4 linked regions of the Saccharomyces cerevisiae S288C genome follow. Changing the gene in region 4 together with the main gene of any one other region gives a genetic interaction. Each region holds a gene or a part of one and is shown on either strand. Other genes may lie near its edges. The genes, in order: ELF1, DYN3, RIM8 and SCS2.

The links.
Region 1: mutations in SCS2 (region 4) and ELF1 together harm fitness more than expected from each alone (negative genetic interaction), as found in Saccharomyces cerevisiae (2 studies listed by BioGRID).
Region 2: mutations in SCS2 (region 4) and DYN3 together harm fitness more than expected from each alone (negative genetic interaction), as found in Saccharomyces cerevisiae (4 studies listed by BioGRID).
Region 3: mutations in SCS2 (region 4) and RIM8 together harm fitness more than expected from each alone (negative genetic interaction), as found in Saccharomyces cerevisiae (2 studies listed by BioGRID).

What each region holds. Positions count from the first base shown.
Region 1 is NC_001143.9:150,911-154,913, reverse strand, and holds ELF1 (Elf1p), read right to left. Parts: upstream 1,646-4,003; coding exon 1,208-1,645; downstream 1-1,207. Other genes in the region: RCN1 (Rcn1p), read left to right, coding at 463-1,098. UniProt on the Saccharomyces cerevisiae protein: Transcription elongation factor implicated in the maintenance of proper chromatin structure in actively transcribed regions.
Region 2 is NC_001145.3:863,912-868,306, forward strand, and holds DYN3 (dynein light intermediate chain), read right to left. Parts: upstream 1,440-4,395; coding exon 501-1,439; downstream 1-500. Other genes in the region: sphingosine N-acyltransferase subunit LIP1, read left to right, coding at 1-360; ADE4 (amidophosphoribosyltransferase), read right to left, coding at 1,648-3,180; ATP-binding cassette Fe/S cluster precursor transporter ATM1, read right to left, coding at 3,644-4,395. UniProt on the Saccharomyces cerevisiae protein: Component of the cytoplasmic dynein which acts as a motor for the intracellular retrograde motility of vesicles and organelles along microtubules. May play an important role in the proper orientation of the mitotic spindle into the budding daughter cell yeast.
Region 3 is NC_001139.9:411,371-416,582, forward strand, and holds RIM8 (Rim8p), read left to right. Parts: upstream 1-2,731; coding exon 2,732-4,360; downstream 4,361-5,212. Other genes in the region: N-acetylglucosaminyldiphosphodolichol N-acetylglucosaminyltransferase catalytic subunit ALG13, read left to right, coding at 182-790; RNA15 (Rna15p), read right to left, coding at 4,776-5,212.
Region 4 is NC_001137.3:399,050-403,009, reverse strand, and holds SCS2 (phosphatidylinositol-binding protein SCS2), read right to left. Parts: upstream 1,876-3,960; coding exon 1,141-1,875; downstream 1-1,140. Other genes in the region: GLO3 (ADP-ribosylation factor GTPase-activating protein), read left to right, coding at 1-139; YER121W (uncharacterized protein), read right to left, coding at 291-635; AVT6 (aspartate/glutamate transporter), read left to right, coding at 2,168-3,514; osmosensor SHO1, read left to right, coding at 3,955-3,960. UniProt on the Saccharomyces cerevisiae protein: Acts as an endoplasmic reticulum (ER) membrane anchor for cytoplasmic proteins via binding to the FFAT motif of targeted proteins. Regulates phospholipid biosynthesis by modulating the subcellular localization of the transcriptional repressor OPI1.

The sequences.
Region 1 (4,003 bases), on a different chromosome or scaffold from region 4:
AACGTTTACATGATTTCTTAATTTACAACGCGGACGAATTAGATTGAAATTATTTAGCATATCTGTCTAAGAGCACATTAGATCGAAGTACCGTAGCACATCTGCCATACTATCAAATGCATCATCACGAAAAGGCGCAGTGTTGATGGATAGTAAATATGAAAAGGATCTCTTCTTAGGTGTTCCAAGCCTCGCTTCACGTGTAACATACACAGTTTAGAAGTTTACCAAACCGCGGCAAGGCGCTGTAAGGTTCAAGAGGCTTTGAATTATGCTATCTTACTATCTTGCCGCAAGTTGCTGTCAGGTGTAGTTCCTAGGCGGCTCGTTGACAAGACCCTTCTGCCCAATGACTTCTATATAAAGTATGGTTTTCTTTTTAAATACAGTAATTCCATGAAAAAAAGAGGGCCAAAAAGATCAAGCAATAAACCAACCGATATATAAAACACAGAACTGCAGATGGGTAATATTATAACGGATACGATAATTATAACCTCGGATAAGTGCGACATTGTTGATAATGATAATGTTGAAAGAATCCAGGTTTGGCTATCCAAGAATATCTTAAGGAAGTTTCAAATCAATGAAAATGAACCACTACAGTTGATTATTTTGAAAAGGTTTAAAAGAATACTGTTGATCTGCCCCAGTCATGATATATCTCAGCATGTTATGGATGCGTCTCGTGCTTTAGAAATGGAAAATTTTAACTTCAGCTACTCCTTGCAAGACGGACAAAGGAATTTAACTAAACAATACTTGAAGGTACCAGAGAGTGAAAAAATGTTCCTGATATCGCCCCCAGCATCACCACCTCCCGAATTCGATTTCAGCAAATGTGAGGATGCGCCACAAAGGCATATACAAAGTCATATACAACAGGACCAGCAGCAGCGGTTGGAAGCTAGCCAACTATTGCCTAATAATCCAGACAAAAATAACAATGGTACTTTCACGTTATTGAAATCAAAGGTGGGCGCAATTACCATTGATAGATGTCCCACGAACGATGGAAATGGACAGATGCAATTAGCGGACCACGTTAAAACCGCTTTCCCACCAAAATCTATATTCGATACTGATGACGATGATTAAGATGGCGAGGCGATTTGTTGGCTTAAGAGACTTAAATGCTTACGGGTGGTTGCTTTAAAATATAAAATATATATGACCTAAGTAAATATGGTTTTTTCTCAGGACCGGATTATTCATCGTCACTATCTACCAAGGCGCCTCTGCCTCTTTTAACTTGGCCTATCCTCTCCTCGTCCGAGTCTACCTCCTCTTCATCAGAATCTATTTCGCCATCATTTTGCGTTTTAGCATCTTGCTCTGAATCACTTTCGTAATCACTATCAGAACCTTCGTCACCATCATCTGTGTCACTTCCACGGCCAGAATTGACTTCTTCGACGGCGTCAAACCAATCACTATATACATCAACAGGCTGTGATAATGAATTTATGCGCGTTTGGAACGACTGCCCACAAATCTTGCACGATAAAGTTCCTATACTATTTTTTTTGTCCAGAGTGCATGAAACTGATTTTTCATGATTACAAAATAAACAATTGAATTTCGTATCTAATTTTTGGACCAGTCTCTTGGTAGGCTTTCTTGTTGACTTCTTTCTTTTACCCATGGCTCGTTAATTGTTTTCAGTGTTTTTTATGACATTCTTCTTCATAATTCTCCCCATCTTTATTACTATTCCTTTTCCAATTATTTGTAGATTATTGCTTTACCAAAGTTTAATCATTTTAAACGTTTTTGTTTCTTCCGTTTTCAGAATTTTTACAATTTGTCACCGAAATAGCAGTTTTTGTTTAATTTTAACGCTATGGGGTAAAAATTTTGGGCCCAATTTCAACTGAAAGAAGAGATATTTTAAATATGATAAGATAATCTTATAACTACGAATTTATTATTTTGTACGTGTCATAATAAATAAGGAAGTGCCTGAAGAGCGTTAAGTAACTTTGGAATCTTCGTTATGAAAACATTGGCTATTTGTTTCAGAAAAAAGCCGTTTAAGTACTTAAAAGAATAGTTATGTTTATATAGGTATGGTGACGAGGCTCTACATAGGACTAATAATGGTGATTTCCCGTCCAGTTTGGTTTACCCTCGTACCATCAAAAGCCTACAAATTCACAGGAAAATCGAAAAAAGATCCTTTCAAAGGTATTTTTCGTCGTGGTTTATTTCCAATGTTGTCATCTTTTTGTCTAACATCTCTCCCACCGATTTTGTCTCACTAACGCGATGATTTTGAATAGGAATGTAGTTTGAACTGTGAAATCATGACAGAATAAGCATGTTACATATAAATATTGGTTACCGTATTTCTTACGCTAGCATACTTCAAGTGTCTTTTGTACTTCTTAAGTTCTTTTGTTTTTGGATAATGATTTAATGCGACACATTGAAAAGGATAATGAATTCTTGCTGGGAACCTCGAACCAAATATTGTGACCTGGAAATGTTGTGTGCAAGACACCGTGAAATCACGCAATAAGACATATCTATACCGTGACAACTCCAAAAAATCCTAAAAACGGCAATTACGTGCAGAAGAATAACGGAAGTTCAGATAGTGGAGAGAAGAATTTATTCTTGTCCCTAAAATGCCCACCAGAGCAGCACTTCTAGTAAGCACATGCATGCTCCACCGCAAATCATCATATTGACGGTATCACACTATAAAAGAATAAAACATGTTGCAAGGCATAATTACTACCGAATTGCAAAAAATTGAACACCAACTTAGCGTGGTTCTATCAGAGAACGACATATCAATTCCTCACAATGAAAAACTAACTGACTAGAATACTTCCACTTTGGTGCCGCATTTGATGAAACAGCAAATAATACCTACACTTAAGTTGAATGAAGATTTCGTTTTCTTTGAGATAGCTCGAGGACATTCACGAAAGAAAAAATTTTAAAGAACAGTTTATAAGCTCTTTTTTAGAATCCTATTCTGTTTACTTCACTGTTCACTTACTTTCGGTCCCACATCTACAAAACATCTACAACAAGAACGTGGGCGATACAGCAAAAAATCACTTGAAATAACAGAATCAAGTTTCTTATCCGATTTCCTACTTTTGAGCTCCGGCTTATGTTGAAGATGTTACTTTTCTTTGTCTCTAAGTGATCTTTATTTTTCTGGCTCCAGTGAAATTTGGTAATAGCATAGTCACTTCAACTAAAGTCTGATAGTAATACTTGCAAATATTGCAAAACTTGGAAGAATGTTAATGAATCATTTCTTGCACCATTCTTTCAATCATCTCAATCTCCTGCTGTGATGTTTAAGTATAACATTGAAGACTATGCCCTAATTTCCAATGTTATTTAGTTTTAAGCATATCTTTGTTTCTAACAGGAAACTCAGGCCCACATCCGCAAAAAAATATGTGCCAAAAAACTTTCAACACTTCAAAGATACTTACCACTGCAGGAAAATAATCTACGTGTAACGGTTTGAAAATAAATTTGACTTCATAATTGGACATAAGTACTCCATCGCCATCCCTTTTTAAAGAAGTTTCCACAAGAATGAATGGCTAATCGCAACTAAATCTTTTCCTTGCAAACGTAACACAGTATCGACATTTTCTTACTCAATCCAACGAAGGAATAACCTATCTAAAAAATAAACGCCGTAGTTTTCAGCCCACAAGACGTCATTAAAAGATTTGTTAATTATAAAAATAGAAATATTTCTACCAGCATGATTATTCGTTACTTGAAAGTCCCCAATAAATTTCACTGTTTCCGTTAACTGTTGTAGTTATTAAACGCAGCAAACAGATTATTTTGAACAACACCGGAGAAACACGCGCAGACCCATTCGAGTTAAAAATAGTAACTCGCGATCAATCAATGCAGGAAGCACCGTAGGAATTAGTAAGAACTCGTATTTTGATTGAAAATGCCATGAAAGCAATTGACTTGCTGCAGTAAAAAGCGCTGCCACAAACTTTGTAATTTT
Region 2 (4,395 bases), on a different chromosome or scaffold from region 4:
TTGCTGATCGCTGCGGTTGAATACTTCAAGTATGGTACAAGAATTAACTATGAATGGTTCCATTGTACCCCAATCAAAGAACCCCAGTCTGGCTCAGTAATCAAGCTTTGGGCACGTGGTGGGCCAAGTTGTGACAAAAGAGGCGAATATAAAACTATAGTAAAGAGAATCACTAGAGATTATGAACCAAATGATGAACATCTCTCGTTCTGTATCATCGAGAATGATAATGTTCCACCCGTCCACTACCCAATTCACGAAGATAAAGGTGAACCTGGCTACGTAGCTTATGTCGGGTACGACACAGACTCTGAGCTGGTTCAAGAACTATGTGCTGATTCCACAATTTATCACATGTGAATTCTTTCTTTTACATACATAAACATAGAAGAAATCCAACCCTGATATAGGGATTTATAAATGCGTGTGCATATCTATATTTATACATATAAAGAGAAAAAAATTGCTCATGATAAAAGAAGTATCGCCTGCCCACTTTCCTAAATCCTCGAATTTTCCCTATATTTTGCGAACATTTTGCCTAATTCCTCTTGAATATTAACTTTGAAAACTTCTAAAGGATATAGTTTATCAAGGTCGATACCAGAGGTTGTTTTCCTATCTTCTCTGATTTTATCAATTGTTGGTATAAAGTCCATATATCGGGCCAAAAAGTGTTGCTCTTTCACCTCAGTAGGCTCAAATCTTTCGTCTACTGTTTTTATCAATCCAATAGAATCGCACCCCTTCGGTATTAATATCTCACTGCGTTTGACCATTTCAATATGATCTTTCATATCTCTATCTTCACAAAAATGCTTTAGAAGCTCTTGGTATTTAAGCCTTTGTGCTTCCTCTCGTTTCTCTTCGGTATGGTCTTCGCATATATAGAATAGTGAGCTATCATTAAAATAGCAAAACGATCTTAACGTTTGCAAAATGAAGTCAATATGTACTGACTGCCATACTGTAGTGTGTCTTTGTAAGTTTAATATTTCGCCACTGTTTAAGCACCATACAGAAAATTCATTATCGTCATTCAGTTGCTTAATTTTATTGAATGCGTAGGATAGTTCATTCAGCCACAACTTTTGGTCGTTCAGTGTCCAATCTAATAATATGAGCCAGCGAACCTTCGAACTATGTTCTTGTAAAAACGGCTTTAGAAGATCTAGTGCATCGTCAGTGTTTCTTATTAGCGTGTAAACATCGACAGAATAATTTTCCTTTAAGTCGTTGGTCCATCCTATGGTGGCGTAATTAATCAAAGTGGTATCCAGTATTGAATTGCTTCCCTCTGGAAAACAGATATTTATAAATTGATGCAGTGTTTTACTTGATGGGGAATATATGATTGCTGTTATCGTAGCAGTCTCTGTGCTGTTGATTGTGGATTCATTCTGAGACAATAATTTGTCCCAGGCATTACAATTATCCATTAATACATACAATTCTTTTATCTTCTTTTCTTTTTGTACAAGTTGCGGATTACTTCTCTTTGTTTACCTTTTTGCTTTTATTTTTTTTTTTAATACGTGCATATATATATATATATTTAGTTTAGGTCAGAATACAAAGATAATTATGTATAAATGGGCGCATTTGGAAACTATTTTACATACAACTGAACAAGTTCGGAACAATCTATCAATAATCTGCACAATTATATAATCCGATATCGACTTCAGCCTTCATATCTGATGAATTATTTGCGATCGATTCACGTTTTTCTTCCAATTCTTGAATATAACCGTCTTCAACACCAGTGACATAATTTCCGGTAAATACACCATCTTCGAATTTGGTTATTTTATCAGTTTTACAACAATCAATCAAATCTTCCAATGATTGGTAAATGACTCTTTCACAACCGATTACTTCCGCCACTTCTTCATCGGTTCTGTTATAAGCAATCAAGTTCTTTGTGTCTGTTAAGTCAATACCATAAATATGGTTGTAACGAATGGCTGGGGCAGCTGAAGCGAAGTAAACCTTTGTTGCACCGGATTCCTTGGCCATGTTAACAATCTCTTTTGAAGTAGTACCTCTGACAATAGAATCATCCACTATCAGAACCTTCTTACCCTTAAATTCAGACTCCATAGGGTTAAGCTTCCTCCTTACTGAAGAAACCCTTTCCCTCTGGTTTGGCATGATAAATGTCCTGCCCACGTATCTGTTTTTAACAAAGCCCTCTCTATAAGGCTTCCCTAACACATTAGCACATTCTAGTGCACATGTTCTTGCAGTATCTGGGACGGGAATAACAACATCAATATCTTCTGGCTTCAGTTGCTTTAGAATATTTTCCGCTAATTTAGAACCCATAGCCAATCTTGTGTGATAAACTGATATTCCATCCAAGACACTGTCCGGTCTGGCGAAATATACGTATTCAAATAAATCAGGTCTATAAGAGTTAATAGGAACCACTTGTTTGAACTCAGGTTCACCTTTGCTACAGTTCTTAGGGATGATAACTGCCTCGCCAGGCTTTAAGTCACGATATTTAGTAAAGTTGTGAGCTTTGAAAACAACACTTTCTGAAGCTAACATATAGTCCTTAGTGCCGTCCGGATTTTCTCTTTCACCGAACAATAATGGCCTAATACCATTTGGATCTCTGAAACCAAATAATGCAAAACCGGCAAGTAAACCAACGCAAGCATAACCGCCACGGCATAAACGGTAAACACCTTCTAACGCGTGGAAAACATCTTCATTGTTAACTCTGTACTTGTTATGTTTTTCCAGTTCAGCAGCAAAAATATTCAATAGTAACTCCGAATCACTGTCCGTGTTAATATGTCTATGAACGTCTTCATCCATATATCTCTTCAATGATGCAGTATTCACCAAGTTACCGTTATGTGCCAAGTTAATACCGTAAGGACTATTGACGTAAAATGGTTGCGCTTCTGAATTAGCCGAAGACCCGGCTGTAGGATATCTCAAGTGGGCAATACCCATGGAACCAGCAAGACCGGAAACACGTTGTTGGGTAAATACGTCACGAGCCATACCATTACCTTTACATTGGTAGATTCTACCACGAGAACCACAGGTAGCTATACCAGCTGCATCTTGTCCACGATGTTGTAGAAAAATGCATCCATCACATAACTCCGGAGCTACTGGAGTGGTTTGGTTTGCTAATACAATACCTAAAATACCACACATTTTTTCTATTCTGCTGTTTGCTGTACCTCTTTCTTTGCTAAACTTATTAGAACGAAATCTACTACTTTCAAGACGATGTCTTCGCAACTATGACTTAAAAGTGAATAAAATTGTACGGTGGCTGTTGAAATTTTTCTAAAATGAAAAAAAAAAAAACGAAGGACTTTACCTTGACTTAATAATAAGAATCTGAAAAGTACAAACCTATTATTGAAATTGTAAGTAAGCAAACTTTAAATACACCGAAGCTCTGACATTTGCCGCATGAGCAGTCATTCGGATTCATGATCCCAGATTATATTTTATTATTCATGTTCGTTCTAACTCTGTCCTGTTATTTTCGGTCAGGAAGAGTCAATACATCGGGTCATTGAAAAACCGCGGAGAAAGATAATAACTTTTCTTTTTTCCTTAAATCTTGAAAAACTTATACATGTATAAATCAATATTTACTTACGAGCGTTCATAGTTCTTGCTGGTCTTTTAGTTCATTCTCTAAATGATCCAGATCTTCTTGTATGGTCCAAAGTTCGCGGTACAATGACCCTGGCATAGCCAACAGTTCAAGATGCTTACCTTCCTCTCTTACTCTTCCGTTGTCAAGGACTATGATCTTGTCTGCATCTGCAATTGTCCTCAGTCTATGTGCGATGTATACACTCGTTCTCGAACCCGAAGTAAAGTTATCTCTAATGGTTCGTAAGAGAGCTTGTTCTGTGTGTGTGTCCAAGGCGCTTGTGGCCTCGTCAAAAAACATGATCCTTGCATTCTTCAATAGTACCCTTGCAATTGCCAGCCTTTGCTTTTCACCACCGCTGATCATCAACCCTCGCTCCCCGACGATGGTGTCAAAACCTTGTGGTAATTTCTTGATTAAGGGTGCTAGCTGGGCTTTTTCAACTACAGTTATCACTTCCTCGTCGGTTGCGTCAATACGACCGAACTTTACATTTTCCCAGATAGTGTCATTGAAAAGTGGTGTGTCCTGTGGTACCACACCAATCACCTTCCTCAAGGCATCGATGTCATATTCTTTAATATCTCTACCGTTTATGAGGATCCTTCCGCTTTCAGGATCATAAAATCTAAAGACTAATTTTAAAATGGTGGACTTCCCACTGCCCGAAGACCCAACTATTGCGGTTTTCCAGCCTGCTGGGATGGTAAAGCTGGCATTCTTTAAAATTTTCCTATCGGGATGATATCCAAACGTGA
Region 3 (5,212 bases), on a different chromosome or scaffold from region 4:
TCGCTCGCATTTTGACAGTTTTAAAATACGAAAATTTCCGAACAAGAATAAGGGTAGAGAAGTATGCAAAATATGATTTCATATTAAAAAACCCAACCGAAGAAAAAGGGAAATAGAAAAACAAGTTTTCAGTCGCAAAAAGAGGTTAAACAAACGAGTCAGAAGCCAGCTCTTTCAAACAATGGGTATTATTGAAGAAAAGGCTCTTTTTGTTACGTGTGGGGCAACGGTGCCATTTCCAAAGCTCGTCTCATGTGTGCTAAGCGACGAATTCTGCCAAGAATTGATTCAATATGGATTCGTACGTCTAATCATTCAGTTTGGGAGAAACTACAGTTCTGAATTTGAGCATTTAGTGCAAGAACGCGGGGGCCAAAGAGAAAGCCAAAAAATTCCAATTGACCAGTTTGGCTGTGGCGACACCGCAAGACAGTATGTCCTGATGAACGGGAAATTAAAGGTGATCGGGTTTGACTTTTCGACCAAGATGCAAAGTATTATACGTGATTATTCAGATTTGGTCATATCACACGCTGGAACGGGCTCTATACTAGATTCTCTACGGTTGAATAAACCGTTGATAGTTTGCGTAAACGATTCTTTGATGGATAACCACCAGCAGCAGATAGCAGACAAGTTTGTAGAGTTGGGCTACGTATGGTCTTGTGCACCCACTGAAACAGGTTTGATAGCTGGTTTACGTGCATCTCAAACAGAGAAACTCAAACCATTCCCAGTTTCTCATAACCCGTCATTTGAGCGATTGCTAGTTGAAACTATATACAGCTAGTTAGTAAGATTTTAAAAGACGAAAAGAACGGAAAGTAGGACAACTACCAAAAAAAAAGATGGAAGGTTTCTTTGGTTAGTTAGCAGTATCCGCGTAATGCCTTAGACGTTTTTGATCAGAAAAAAATAAAACTTGATTTCGCCCAGGATCGAACTGGGGACGTTCTGCGTGTTAAGCAGATGCCATAACCGACTAGACCACGAAACCAGTTTTTTGATGTTTCGTTTAGGGACAAGAGTCCTATGAGAGTCCACTAAAATTCTAAAAATAATTGTATCAACAACCGTCATGCAGCTGTTGTATCAAGAATCGACCACCATCTATAGACTATTGTTCATAGCTGTATTACAATATCATATAAGATGTAAGGATAGAACGTGAAGATCGAGAAACAGTCAGCAGATTTAATGGAAGCTGAAATGCACGGATTGATAATGTAATAGAATAAGTGACAACATAAGAAATGAAAGAAAAAAAATAACATTAATATAATTTAGAAATGTTAGTTTCCTTCTATGAACTCTCGTATCCCTGGGGAGGACTTTCAATATATTCAGTATACCTACCGTTCAAATGATACTCTAAAATATCATCTATTAAGTGGTATTCAGGTTTTTCCCACGCAAGATTGAGTGCGTCAGGCAAAGCCACGATCGCAGATTACTCTCCTAACAATATTAAGATCGTCAAGAACATCCGGTTTTACTCAAGCGCTTAATACAACACGTCGGCTTTCGCTCAACTGCAGTATATTGTGTCTGTAACCTCTCCCGTCAAGTTTGCGCCACGGGCCCAATAACCAACTTCTGCGCCATTGTTACGGAAAAGTGGCCATCTTTGCTATGCTCGTAAGGCTAGCGCTCTCTAAGTACGCCAGCCCAAAAACTCCGTATCGCTCTTCATCGGAATTGCTATATCTACAGCCGACGGGCACTCTATGTATACTCATATCACAGCCACTGTTGCACTACATTATTCGCAGGGACTCCGAGATCGCTGAGCATGTTGCTAAGCAACTTACCAAGGTTGGAATGCATTATATAGTCCGATATAGACCCCGCTCGGACTATATTATATAAATTCAAATAGCACTTTCAACGAGTGTCTTAATCCGTCCTAGTTCCTGCTCTCGCTCCACGTTGTCATCCCACCCATTCGCACGGGTCTTCTGTGCGAATGAGCCACAACGGGGCCGAGTTCAGCGCGTGTCCGCCTACAACGTCCGCCAACTAGTGGCAATTGCTAGGCTACGCCGACCACGCTGACACGCACCGTTCTACTCGCTCTATGCTGCGGTGTGACGTGTGAACGCGCGATCGTTCGCAATCGTATCGTTTGCCAAGAAAAAAAGCCAATCGGAGAATCTGAAAATCGCTATTCGGCTTGCAGGTCGCACGCACTCAGAGTACGAAATGCCAAGTACCGGAATTTCCTTGGCCTTTTTTAAGTTTCTTCTCTTCTATTCTTTTTCCCCTTTCTTTCTTCCTTTGCTATCTGTCTGGTTTAAATAAACATAGTATTTTTTTGTGTCTAAGCCTCTTCCTCTTCTCTCGTACTTGCTCTACTACCACTTTACTTAATCGCCTTTCTTTGTTTTCTTTCTTCGTTATTTGTTCTTGGACTTTTCCGCTCCAATCCCAACGATTGGCTTCAAAACACGTTCTACTGTCTAGCAATTTCTGCAGGTGCCATTTTTCTTAGGCTTATACCCTTTCCTTTTCCCCTTACATTTGATTTCTTCTTCAAAGTTCCTTATAGTATTATTGTCTAAGCTCTATTGAGTCAAAAGTAACAATCTAGACGAAGAAAAAAAAAAAATAGAAAATAGACATCCCCGAATACGCATCATCTCACGCACGTACAAGATTTTAACGTTAAAGCCAAAGTACGCTAGTATAGTATCATCAGCATCACCCTCACTATCGGTAGCATTGACCAAACATGTCGTTACTGAGACTGTGGAACAAAGAATCAAGGGCACCATCAAAAATAAAGAGTCATGGTATTGTTGGCAGTTACGGCAACAGCATGCTGGCCCATAACAACGTGAAGCAATTTCGTATAGACATAGACGAACCGCATAGAGTATGGAAACCGAATGAAAGCATAACCGGAGAAGCGGTCATTGACATAAAGAGAGACATAACTAACGTAGCGATCAAATTATCGCTAGTATGTGAGGTTCGCGTGAAAACGGGGAACAGTCCAACCTCCAAGAATAAGAGAATTGAGAAAACCTTAGAGAAGTCGACGTTTCTTTATGGACAGGACTACGTAAAGACAGCTTTTTCGGCTAAGGAAAAGAAACCGCATGTTGACAAAACCACCATTCTCAATGGTTTAAGCAAGGGGGAACACAGGTTTCCCTTTAGGATACGAATACCACGAGGCAGAGGAATGTTGAGCTCTATAAAGTTCGAAAGGGGCTCGATAACATACTTCCTCTCTTGCACTTTAGAATCCCTCAACAACATCAACGGATTAAAAAAACCGGAAGCAAGATGCGAACGTGAGTTTGCAGTCATAGTTCCGCTGGACGTCTCGAGGCTGCCCAAGCCGAAAACTAAGACAGTGGTTTTACAATCAGCATCTATGGTCCAAAACAAAAAGAACAAATCTACAGAGGACGAATCCTCATCGTATACACAATTAACTCAAAAGTCTACTACTTCTAATTCTTCTAGCAGTTCAGTAAACTCCAAGACGTCCCCCTTACCAAATAAAACGGTGACTATATCCGTAGACATACCGCAGGCTGGATTCATGATTGGTGAAATTATCCCTATAGACGTTAAGATTGACCACTATAAGCCTTTCTATGCCCCTGCGGGTCTCACCACCACTTTGGTGAGGATATGTAGGGTGGGCGGTGCAGGCAAAGATGATCCTATGGAGACTTTCAGAAAAGATATATGTCAGAGTATCTCTCCTATATATATTAACCCTGAAACGTTGCAGTTTCAATCTAGAGTTTATCTGAAAGTGCCCCTTGATGCATTTTCGACCCTTACTACTGTGGGAAAATTTTTCTCCTTCCAATACTATATCGAGGTTATGGTTAACTTATCAAAAAAAAACGTGGTTTACACAGAATCTAATAGAATAATAGGAACTCCTATTGGAGAACAAAATGGCTTGGGCGTAGAGAATAATATCAACCGTATCCAAAGGAAAATGCTACGTATGGTCAATCCAGAAACGTTGGAGAACGATTCTGAGGGTTATGAATCCAGTATATTTTTCAAAGATATGGTAAATGTGGAAAAGCTAAAGAGACTGAGGAATGTAACTGGTATGTCCATAGAAACCGTCATAGGAACGACGAGATCCGAACAGCAGCAATCTGATGCAAGCATCCCATCCCAATCCTCAATCACGGCTCCTCAAAATTCTCCATCGAATTTAAGAGATTGGTTGGCCCCATTAAATGCATATGATAGTGACGATGTTCCAGTTCCAAAGTATTCGCCAAATGATAAAGTCAGTGTACCGTCGGAAGACAAACAAGAACTTGAACAAAAAAGACTACAACAGTTAGAAAGCGATCCTCCCCCTTGTGATGACTATTAAAAAGTGCAGGTAACAAGTCATATACTCGCAGCTTGCGCCGTGTTGGAACTAGGCGCCTTAATCATGTTTGCATATTTCCACTATCCCAGCCACGTAATGATCCATGACATTAACATAGAAAAAAAAAATCGAAGCATGCACAAACCTGAGATTTATATATGTTCATGTGTACTTAATATACGTTTAATGATTAAAACTATAGCCGTCCTCAGGCAAACTGAGATAAGAAACGAAAAAATAGCAGTAACGTAAACGTTATTCTATATTTATAAAGACGTCAAAAAAAAAAGTGATTGTGATATTGAGATGTAAGCTATATACCGAACTTTGAGCTCCCTCACGTGGAAAATATGATAGATTGTTGCCTCATCATTGCGGAACCGCATTTTTTTTTTGTATTTTTGCCTCCCTAGTTTCAAAATGCACCAAATTCTCCCCTTAATGCTTTTTGTTTTAAGTCCCAAATAGCCATCCTTTCATCATCGGGCAAGATAGAAATTTGACTGTCATTCAGTTGTAACACCTGTTTCAGTAGTTCTTTCTGTTTGTTAAGCACAGCTGGATCCACCACCTCGTTCACGCTATTGTTATTCGTAGCCGATGCCTCTTCTTGCGGCCTGGAAGCTAACGGGATCAAATCATCCACTTTACATATCCCATTCGTTAGCAATAATTCAGCCGTAACAAAACTCAACTGTGGACACAGCTCTAATAGCGAAACAGCATCTTCAGGATGCGCTCTTGTCCATTCTTGGAATTTTTGTAAAAATTTCAACTGCACCTCTTTCGGTTTTTTAGCTAGTTCGCTCGATATCATCATAGCAGGGGTGGTCATGTTTATGTTAACGTCGA
Region 4 (3,960 bases):
TTTTGATGGCCGTAATTCTAATAACGGTTTCATCGATTTTAATGCCTCCGCAGATGATGAATTGCAGATGTTGAGAGACGTTGTAGAACAGGGTGCTGAAAAACTCGGTAGTTATTTAAGGGACTACTTAAGAAAATAAGTTTAATTTTCTCTTTAATTGAATTTTTTTTTTTTCATTGTTATCATTGTTTTTTATTCTCATTTTTCATTATATGATAATTATATTTATGGTACATAGAAACGGTTGTATATGCATTGTACGTGCGTTTATTCTTATTCTTCATCCCCCCTTATCTTAGTTTAAGGTTTCTAAAATCGAAAGTTTCATGTGCGTATGAAGCGGTTGAAAATGCAGACGAGGTAGCATTTGGTTCATTAGCATTATAAACACTTTGCTTTAAAGAAGGTAAGTTATTTTCGACATCTCTGTTTCTAATTGCTTCATCGTCCACATAGGGAGAGTCTATACCCACTTTCCAAAACGAGTTCATTACTTGATTACCATATTCGTTAGAAACACTTGCATTTAAACTATCACTTGCCGCAAGGGCGTAGTAGTGCGCATCCTGTTGCATTTCTTCGCTCTTTTCCTCTGCTGGCCTTGAATTCTTGTCGTGCCAGCGCGATAAGCCCATGTTACTATATTGTCAATATGTGAGTCCCTCGTTCACTATGAGACCTAGCAAAAAACAAACTGAAAGTAGGTGGCTGTTTATGTATTCATTTATTTATGGACCTTTTAGGCGCGACCCCCTCGCAAGATCTTCGTTAATGTGCATCCAAGACCCTCCCCTCATTTAGTAGACCCCGCATTGTTATGGTTAATAACGGATAGTTATTTGCCCAAGATAGCGCCTACTACACTAGGGAAACCGAACATGAATAAATTAAACAAGTAATATGTTACAACAGTGGTATAGTTATCGATTATTCTCCTATTTAAAAAATAAAACATATAAAAAAGTTAGGAAAGTATGATCTTTTAGTTCCTTGTTCTAGTATTGTAAAGGCTACAGAAGGAAACAATAAAAAAAGATTGTAGAAAAACAAAGTAAAATAAAGACTGAAAGGAAGGAAAGGGCAAAACACACACATATATAAATATATATTTAGAATACAGCTATATCCTCAATCTCCCTATTATCTGTAGAACCATCCTAAAACCAAGATAAGGAGTGCAACCAATATGAATATACCCATGCTGGATGATTCATTTTCTGCAGGTACGGTTGCGGCTTCCTTTATCTGGTTCTGTGGGGCCGGAGTGCTGTTGGACGTTTGCTTCTCATTTTCATGAGGAACGGTTTTCTGAACGACAGGTGGGACCTCTTCTTTCTTTACTTGGACGGGAGGTTGAGTTTCCGGTTCAGCAGGGACCTCCTTTTCGTTTACCACAGCAGGCACTTCCTTTGGCTCACTGTCTTGGACTACTGGTTCAACAGTTTCCTTGTTTTCCTGTATATTTTGGTTCTGTGCTGGGTGTACATCTGGACTTATCAAATATTTGACTTTTATCTTTTTAGAGATAGCCTGTTGCTTGAACTCAGCCTCCAAGTCGGACCAAACATCTGCAACAGCCTTGCCATTGAGGTCGTAAGGAGAAGGCAACGTGATAACCAGGAACTTGTCACGGCACTTAAAGTCTGCGGCAGGCTCTTCAGTCAAACCCAGGAAGATAACTTGAACCTGGATTGTTTCACCTGGAGCAACAACTGCGGCGTTTGGTCTCACGCAGTAAAACTTTGGGGCTGTGGTCTTGACCTTAAATGCAATGGTTTGGTCTGAATTGTTGGAAATACTAGCGTATTCTGTCGATTGCTCCGTTAATGGAGACTTATACACCAACACGTCAGGGGAAATTTCAACAGCAGACATACTTAGGTTCGCGGAGATTGTAGAATACCCTTCTGCTACACTATTAACACAGAATGTGCGTCAAACCACACCACACAATAAACAATGCACTTTGCTACTAAAACCATTCTATTCACCTTGCGAAAACAACAAGCGAAAAAAAAAAAGCGAGGGCGAAAGAGTAAGATCACCACGCACGTTTAGGGGATCGGAGAGCTTATCTATACAGCAACTAGAAGTATATAGAACAACAATGGTCGAACGACGGGTTAGTTTCACAGCTCAATAACCATAGAAAGGAATCGTGCATCATATGGTAGCTAGTATTAGATCAGGTGTGCTGACACTTTTACACACGGCGTGCGGTGCTGGTATCCTGGCCATGCCGTACGCATTCAAGCCGTTTGGATTAATTCCTGGAGTGATAATGATAGTGCTGTGTGGGGCGTGCGCTATGCAAAGCTTGTTCATACAAGCTCGTGTAGCTAAATACGTACCACAGGGGAGGGCCTCGTTCAGTGCTCTGACGCGGTTGATTAACCCAAATCTAGGTATTGTGTTTGACCTAGCGATCGCTATCAAGTGTTTTGGTGTGGGCGTCTCTTATATGATTGTAGTTGGGGATCTGATGCCCCAAATAATGTCTGTGTGGACCAGAAATGCTTGGCTGTTGAACAGGAACGTGCAAATTTCACTGATCATGCTTTTTTTCGTGGCCCCGCTGTCTTTTCTGAAGAAGTTGAATTCGTTGAGGTACGCTTCCATGGTGGCCATCTCTTCTGTAGCGTACTTGTGTGTTTTGGTGTTGTTGCACTATGTAGCACCATCAGATGAGATTCTTCGCTTGAAAGGCCGGATCTCCTACCTCCTGCCACCACAATCGCATGATTTGAACGTGCTAAACACTCTTCCAATTTTTGTCTTTGCCTACACATGTCACCACAATATGTTTTCAATAATCAATGAGCAGAGGTCAAGCCGGTTCGAGCATGTGATGAAGATTCCACTGATAGCAATATCTTTGGCTCTCATCTTATATATTGCGATCGGCTGTGCTGGATACCTGACATTCGGCGACAACATCATTGGAAACATTATCATGCTGTACCCGCAAGCGGTCTCGAGCACCATCGGCAGAATAGCGATTGTGTTGTTGGTGATGCTGGCGTTCCCACTACAGTGTCATCCTGCAAGAGCTTCAATCCATCAGATTTTGCAACACTTCGCCGAGGAAAATGTAAGTATAAGTGCTACATCGGCGGATGAACCCACTGTTGCTACCGAAAGTTCTCCGTTGATTCGCGACAGTAGCCTTGACCTCAATGAGGTAATTGAAGAAGAATCTATTTATCAGCCTAAGGAGACTCCATTGAGAGGCAAGAGCTTTATTGTTATAACGTGCAGCATTTTAGTTGCATCATATCTTGTCGCCATTTCGGTTTCCTCCTTGGCCCGTGTACTGGCCATTGTTGGGGCCACAGGCTCCACTTCTATTTCTTTCATTCTGCCCGGGCTCTTTGGCTACAAGCTTATAGGAACTGAGCACAAGACAGCCGTGCCATTGACGACAAAGATTTTCAAATACACAGGTCTTCTCTTGTTTATCTGGGGGCTAATAATCATGATCACCTGCCTGACCGCAGCTTTGAAGCTAAACTAAATAAGCAAGAGTATACTCATTCTTTTTTTGCTATTCCTCCATACGTACATAGACCCTTGAACCTACATATCCGCGTAAGAAACTATTAATAACCTAGCACCTGCGTTAAATCAGAAATTCTTAATCGCGTTTTACATTCCCAACGCGTTCAATCTATTTACACACAACAGCTTTCGGAGTCGGGCTTTTGCTTCATACGTATTATAAAAATTTCAGCGATTGCTGAAATATGCAAAGAACACAGGAACACGAATAAAGTCATTGAGCCTCGTTTTCAGTGAGGTATCATTGTCTATCATATCAGCTTTCTTTGCTCAACAGAATCGCTAAAAGAAAGGGCGTGTTATTAACAGTAGCCAACCCAATAATTTGAAAACAACATTGGACATTATAGATCAACGCCATCTTTTCAGAAACACCAAAAATCACGTTTTCAAAATATGTCA